Linked DNA regions of Coturnix japonica. The protein of the gene in region 2 purifies or fractionates together with the protein of the main gene of each other region. This does not show direct contact. Links are inferred from orthologs where the notes say so. Each region holds a gene or a part of one and is shown on either strand. Other genes may lie near its edges.

Region 1 (3,821 bases), on a different chromosome or scaffold from region 2:
CATATCATTTTACATTCCTACTACACCGTTATTCTTTCATCAAAGCCATAAAACAAGTGATTTTTTCAGGCTTTATTATAAATCAGTTATCCCCCTGTGATTGTTTAGGTGTTCTCAATCTAACTACTAAGAAATTCATACTAGAGTTCTTTCAGAGATTACACATGAAGATATAACTAACTTTTTTTTCCTGTCTGTTTTAAAAGAATTTCCAGTTCTCGGCAAAAGCTGGACCTTCCTCGTGGGAGTGCTGGGGTTTGTCTTAAGCACTACACTCCTAATTTTTACTGCCATAAAATGCCCAACATGGTACCAGTATTTGATGAGCTACAGACACCGTCGTCTGGAAGAAAACGACCCTGAGATGTTTGAACAGGAGTTCTCAGCTGACATGAATTCTTTTCCTGCGATATCAGATACAAACAATGAGGATCCCATAGTAATATTTGACAAAACTAACACTTCTGAACCTGAGGAAGATGGCTTTATTGAGGACAAATACATAGATACTTATGGAACTGAGCAGAGCTAATATCTTACGCAATGGACAATGAACTGACTCTTCAATCTATTCAGCCTTCCATATTATGCTATTTAAATACAGTATAAAAGGAACATAAGCAGCCTCGCATCTCAAGAATTTTGCGACAGAGAACAGCTGCACAAATCACAAAGGTTACAAATTTGGTCACGTCCACGTTAGTGTCACAACAAATATTTTGACACATGATAGAATACTGATGATTCACGTTTGAGAAAAGGCACTATGATTTATGGGAGGAAAAGAGGTTACTCCACACTGCCTGAGAGGACCAAGTCCTTAAAAGGAGGTTGTGAGCCTGATGTAATTACTGACACCATATAGATGAAGAAGCCAGAAACAAAAAACTCTTTGTTTAAATCACTGAAATAGAACACAGACTGGGGGACGGAATCCAACAGATCGGTGCATTAACAGGCAAAACAAATACCTATAAATATCTACACTGAATCAGTAGACCAACGTAAATGTGCCCACATACAGTAAAATGATAAGCAGCACTACTTATCTGATACCTTTATGCCTTAGTTCTTGATCATACCAAGTCTCTGCACACCTTGTTAACACTTAGAAATATATTGACAGACAAACCAGACATATTTACAAGCTGCTGAAAACCACAGCTTTAGTGAAAAATGCCTTCTTAATAAATGGCAAAACGCTATTTTACAAATATCACCCTTTCAGCCTATCACCAACTGTTCTCATGACTTACAAATCCCTATTGCAAACAGCTCACTTTCTTTATATGCATCCTTACTGTACCAGACAGGAATTGCAGTTCCAGTCCCCACTTACGCTTTACTTTTCCCTGTCTGCTACAACACAACACCCATAATCTGCAATCCGTAGGTCTCCACACACCAGGAGAATTCAATGCCACCTATTTCTTTCTGGATAACAAGGTAAGTTATCACCGCAGTAGTTACTCAGAAGAATTTAAAGGCAGAAATTCCAGCTTCAACTTGACACTGATATATGATCTAAAATGTTGGGATATCGTCACTTTCATGGATGACACTGCTGACAAATTTCTGAACTCAGTAACTTCTCCATTTTACCGTTTTCAGGTCAAGAGTTGGCAGTATTAGACAGGCATATATAAGTCGTGCACTTACGTTTGTCTTTCCATGAAAATTTTATCCACACTCTGAGCTTCTCGGTCATTCTGAACTTTTAACTAGAGAAAAAAGAAAAAATATATATATTTGAATATAATATATAAGAAGAAAACATAGTGTATGCACAAGTTCAAGGTTCTGCAATGGAGAAAGAAGCTGCTCAGAATGCAGTAGAGAAAGGAGGAGCAGAGGCCTCCTGCTCCAGAGCTGTTTGAGGCTGTCCTGAAGAAATAGTTTCTGAAATTGTAGCCTTCCACTGCCCTTCTGTGCTTGAAAAAGAAGTGCAAGCAAGTCTGTAGCAAATCAATTTCCATACTATTACTATGGGATCCACTACTACAATACTGCTTAAGCCCAGAGGTAGAATGCAAGTGTAACAGAGCTCTCTTCCCTTTGTGACACAGACAATGAGACTTCATTTTTCAGTCAAACACGGAAAATAAAAATGGTCAAGAAACACACAGGTGGTTTTTCAAGCTACCAAAGTAACAGGAAAAGTAGTCTCAAGAAACGGAACATGCTTTGAAAGCTTTAATACTTGGATAATTCATCTCATTATCATGAAAAACATTGTCCACATCACAGACTTGATTGGAGTTATTTATGACAGAAAACATAACACACAGCATTCTGTGCTTTTTAGTCAGATAAATAATGTAATGCAACACTTGCAATTTAACTTTGAAACAGCCTTCTCAAATCCAAGACACAGGTGCACTATCTTCACAGAAGCACTATCATCTGCCCAGACTTTACATGGCTAACTCACTGCAAACACATAACGTTGCCAAGTATTATGTCCAATTTAAACTAGAAAAGACAATAAATATTCTGAACTAGTATTGTGCTTTTCTATACAAGTCAGGTGTTCAAAGCACTGACATCTAATCTATGCCATTCCGTTGATTAAATATACCAAATATCTTAATTCTTACCAAATTGTAATCACGAATCACTTCTGCTATGTCTGTATTGGTATTAAGTAGATCCACAACCTGATAATAGACAGAATTTCAACCTGTCAGAATTCTTACTTAGTTAAAAAGCAAAAATAAGTACATACACACACACACAAAAAAAAGAAACAGAAAAATAAGTAGCAACTCACAAAGCATTTGTGAAAATACAGTATTTATCTAGAAACAAAAAGATTTGACTTTTAAACCTGAACAGATTACACACAGTTCTAAGAAGTAATTCTCATTTAATGCGGCTGTACAAACTCAATTATCATACAGCGCTGATTTCCTAATTGCATCAGCAACACCTTATGCTTACACATATCAAAATTTCTTGTTTTTTTCTCCTTAGCTTCTGTTTTCTTTTTTCCTCTTCTGGTAACTGAATAAACTCAGAATCATTATCCACTACACTTTTAAGGAGAAACAGCAATGAAAAAAGAAGTTGAAGTAAAGCGAAATCAGTAGCAAACAAAGGAAAGAAGGGCAAAGCGTGTTTTCAGTATAGAAAGCTGATACAAGCATACCATGTTGTAGTCTTCGAGCTGACCTTGCCATTCTTTGATTTCACCAGCTAAAGCCTCTGCCCTGAATACAAAGCAAGAAGCCAAACTTAAAACAGGAAGCGTTATTTAATCCAAATGAAATAATAAAAAAGACTAATTCAATGGTTCTTTGAAGCCTGAATAGTAGCCTAGAACAAAGTCTGGTGATTGAGAAAGTTAACTTTGCGTTAGGTGCCACAGAGCTCACCTTCTCTCATATGACAAATAAGCAGATTTCTCTTCCTTGTACATTTTTATTTCTTCCTGCAGCTTGTTAATTTCTGCTGTGAGTTCACTGGTTTTGCTTCTGCAAAAAATAACATTAAAAAAAAAATTAAATGTAAAACTGAAACACAGTGAAAAACAAAACTGTACTCCGTGCAATAAGGAAACACTATCCTGCTCACACAGTACTGTGCTGTGTTTCCAACAAACCATTTCTAAGAAAAGCAAGATAAATAAGGAAAAATTAAAGAAGTTCTGCCAGATAAAGTCATAAGCAAACATTACAAAACCCAGCTGTGAAATTGTTTCCATTATGTTTTTGGTCTGGTTGGAACAAGCATTGATGTTTTTGAAATAGACCAAAAAAATCATAGCATCCTTCCACAGAATATGGACACTGTGCATATAAAAAAAACCTGACACCATCTTT
Region 2 (3,821 bases):
TCTGAAGTGTTTCTACCAACCTGGCACTTTTGACGCAGCTGTCTCAGTTCTTTGATGACAGGAGCCAGGCTTGACTTCTTCTCTGCCACCATAGCATTTAATTTCTTTACCTGAAAGAGGGACAAAATGTTACACACTGATATTATGGTATTAATACATCTAATTTATTAGGATTGTGAAAAGAGTTGAAAACAAAATTATGGAGAGGAAAAAAAAGTGTGACAAAAGAAGACTGAACTGTATATAACTTAAATGCAGAACTAATTGAGAAAGGGAAAGAGCCTGTGTTGCACTGAGATCATTACCACAAACCAGACCAGTTCTGTTCCCAGCGTTTGACAGAACACCACAGACAAGACCAGCAGACCCATCTGCCAGATGCCATTTGGCTTCAGGAGAGGGGAAAACAAAGGAACTGCACAGAGTTGGAGTGGCAGAAGAGATCTTTGAATAAACCAACCAAAATAAGCCCTGCATAGGTGAAATAAAGTTTGAACTTGCTAAAACAGAATCACTTCAAAATATTTATACTGAAAATTCAAATTCTTCCCATCTTTCTATTTGAGATTCATCCTGTTTTGATTCTACCACTTTATTTTTAAAGTGCCCTAATGATTTTAAAGAATGCTATTTGGCTTTTGGCTCCTTTATAATATTTTGCTTCTATGGCTACATGGTAAGTTAAAACACTACAGATCTAAGGACAGCTGAAAATTAAGCTAAAGAGAAGAAATAACATTTAGTTCTTCAGACAAATGAACTATTTTTAAATGAATACTTAACCCTGGTGATTTACGTTTTATAAAATGATGCTGTAAAAGAGTCAAGCAATTAATCTAGTCAAATAGCAGGCAAAAAGAGTCAAAAATAGACAAAAAAATAGACAAAGCTTGTAATCTGTACTGTTTGAAAGTATCTATTTTTCTATATAAATCTATATTAAAAGTGAAAAGTCCAACCAAAATATTCAACTTGGTTTTATACTGTGAGGAAGCAGATATCGAAACGGAGGCAGTAAAACAGCTAAAGACAGACATCACCATTTCAGACATGTTGTCTAGCGTTTGGCCTTTCATTCCATCCACTTCACTCTTCACTGCAGATACTCTTTCCAGCTCCTCCTGAGTGTAACTGTATCCAGAAATACCTTTCTTGTCTTCAATAGCTTGCTGCAGACACAAAATAAATGCTGAATGTGAATCCATTAATTAACAGAGCAAATTACTTCATAAAGATGAAATACTGTAAGAAAGTGAAAAAGTTCTGCAATCCATTTATTTTAAAGGCGATTAGTAATGCAGCTGCCAAGACAAACTTTTTCTCTCGTGCCTGTACAGCAAGCTAGTAACAACTTCCTGTAGTACATCACTATTCTGTCATCTAATGCCCAATGAAATTAACAGGAAGTTTCAACAATGTGAAATGGGCTTTAGGTCAGGCTGTGAAGGAGCTCAATATGTGATATCCAGATGCTTAATCAGAAGATGCAAGGTAGCTGATCTCTTATAAGCAACTGTCAAGCTAAACTAAAGAAATACTGCATTAATTACAGCAATATTAATGCCAGATTACAACATCCTTGCATTATGGTACATAAAATTTATACTAAATTAAGTGCTGATGTAATGGAAGGAGGCTATTTTTTCAGTAAGCTGAAAGCTAGGTGTTGATTTGCAATTTGCAAAGCACTCATTCTTAAAACTGCCATCTATCCATGAACACCAAAGTCAATTATCCTCAAAAATCTTCTACAAGCATATGTCTCTACAAGGAGCTGCTGCTACTATGAAGGGAGCATTCTGCAGATGTTTACAGGCTGTAACACCAGGGCTAGAAAGGGTTCATTTGATATGAGGGGAAAACCCTAACATAAGAATGCAGCCCTGCTTTAACTGGAGTTAGTGAAGATCTACCACTGACTTCAGAAAGCAGGGTCAAGCCCCTCATTCTGAACAGAAATTGCAGAACATTCATGACTTCCTGTAAAAAACAGTTGCTGAATATGAAGTACAGCAGCTTAGCGCAGTCAAATAGATTTTGTTCCCTAACGACTCTTTTACTAATGACAGTAGGATGGCGTGCATTAGAAAATAACCAAATAGCATCCACCTTATTATATGGCTAGTTAGCAGGGAAGGAAGGGTGGTGGACTATAGGACTATTAAGTGCTTGCATTACCAACTGCTGCTGAATAGCCTCGTGCCGCTGTTTTAGGAGTTCTTCTGTCCTCTGGAGGATGCCATACTCAGCTGTAATTTCTGCTATTTCCAGTCGCTTCCTTTTATATACTGTGTTCTTGCTCCGGAGCTTATTAACATAGTGTTTAAGCTGCAGCGAGAGAACAGAAGTATCTATCATTCAACTTAAAGTTAAAAAGAGCATGGTCTCATCACAGACTGATCCTCTATAAAACATAAATATCCTATTTGGACTGCATGCTGAAGGTTAAGTGTTTAAAACAGAGGACTTGAATCGAGGATTCCCAGAGTCTATTTACTTTCAGCAGCGTATGCTTGCTGTGTGAGATAAGAAATCCATCTCCATTGCTTTATCCCAGCTCATCCATTTGCCATAGAAAAACCCTTCAGTTCTACTTACCACCACTGGACAGTCAGAAAACTAATTACTGTTTGCAAAATGTTTCACCCAAATCTGGAAGAACTGGGGATTTTATAGTTATATTGAAGACTAAGCAAAATAGTTCACATCCCTACAGCTAAATTACATTGGAATCCACACGTGCTCGATTTGCAAGATGAAAAATCAGGTGCTGAAACAAACATGTCATGTTTTTCTTTGCCTGAATGTTTTCCATCTGTCGAACAGGCAGAGCTCTCGGAGCTGCCAGTCACAGCTCTGAAATGCACTCAGATCCAACGATGGAAAACAAATAACATTTATTAGAGTAGATGCAGCAGGAACAGGCTTCAGAGTGTTCCTCACAGGAGCGTTCAGCCTGTGCATAGTGAACAAGTGACAGGACCAGGAGGAAACAGGAGCCTCACCACCTCAAGTTTAAAACTCAAACATAACAGAACTTGGATTTTAAGTTTTACTTTTTTTTTTTTCTTTTTGCAAAATTACGCCACTTTCCCTCTTAAAGAAGGGATGCAAAAAACCAGAGCGACCACAGCCTAAGAACCCCCAGAGTAACTGTATGTTCTATAAAAAGTCTCCTGGGCAAAATGCCCAAAATGAAATCAACCCTGTTCATCTGCCATCCTGTGCAATATCTAGGCCAAAGCTGCTTCTCTCTTGCTATGCTCCACAACTATTTTTAAAGCCAAAAGCTATAAACGTTTTTGGTGAAAGAACAAACCCACAAATTACTCAATGTGCTCTATGCAGATTGGACTATGTGTGGTTTGGAATACCATTTTACATTGTATGCGCTACCTAGGACAAGGATAGACAAGGTCACCTAATCCACAGCACTGTGCAGCAGAGGCAGTTCTCTTACAGTCATACTGTCATTGTTATACTACTGGCACACTTACTATAATATTACCAGAGTGAGCAATTTTTCATAGCAAATTCACATATACCCACCTAGCTAACAGACAAGACTTATTTTCTTTTGGTATTGCTTAGCTAACACCAAGTTTTCTGTGACTTTCAATACATTATAGAGCATAAATAGCTTCTCTCCAATTATTTAAGAGAAGCAGTCCTTCGTCTTGATGGAGTAGATGCACAGAGGTTTCATCTGATCAGTGGAATACCGTAAAGTGCATTGGAAAGGATGAAACTTATTGTGTGACCACCAATCAAATCTGAATAATCTTCTGTCAGCTCACCCCAGGATGAAAAGCAAACTATGA

What was found.
Region 1: the proteins of IFT81 (region 2) and IFT74 purify together in Homo sapiens (affinity purification with mass spectrometry; 3 studies listed by BioGRID and IntAct, counting the BioPlex papers as one, with this or other methods). This does not show direct contact. The link is inferred for Coturnix japonica from reciprocal best matches to the Homo sapiens genes IFT81 and IFT74.

The regions. Positions count from the first base shown.
Region 1 is NC_029547.1:60,475,780-60,479,600, reverse strand, and holds part of IFT74 (intraflagellar transport protein 74 homolog), read right to left. Parts: intron 3,474-3,821; coding exon 3,375-3,473; intron 3,210-3,374; coding exon 3,149-3,209; intron 2,658-3,148; coding exon 2,598-2,657; intron 1,722-2,597; coding exon 1,660-1,721; intron 1,220-1,659; exon of another isoform or gene 533-1,219; coding exon of another isoform or gene 207-532; intron 1-206. Other genes in the region: LRRC19 (leucine-rich repeat-containing protein 19), read left to right, coding at 207-532. UniProt on the Homo sapiens protein: Component of the intraflagellar transport (IFT) complex B: together with IFT81, forms a tubulin-binding module that specifically mediates transport of tubulin within the cilium. Binds beta-tubulin via its basic region. Required for ciliogenesis.
Region 2 is NC_029530.1:4,608,807-4,612,627, forward strand, and holds part of IFT81 (intraflagellar transport protein 81 homolog), read right to left. Parts: intron 2,329-3,821; coding exon 2,179-2,328; intron 1,170-2,178; coding exon 1,041-1,169; intron 111-1,040; coding exon 21-110; intron 1-20. UniProt on the Homo sapiens protein: Component of the intraflagellar transport (IFT) complex B: together with IFT74, forms a tubulin-binding module that specifically mediates transport of tubulin within the cilium. Binds tubulin via its CH (calponin-homology)-like region.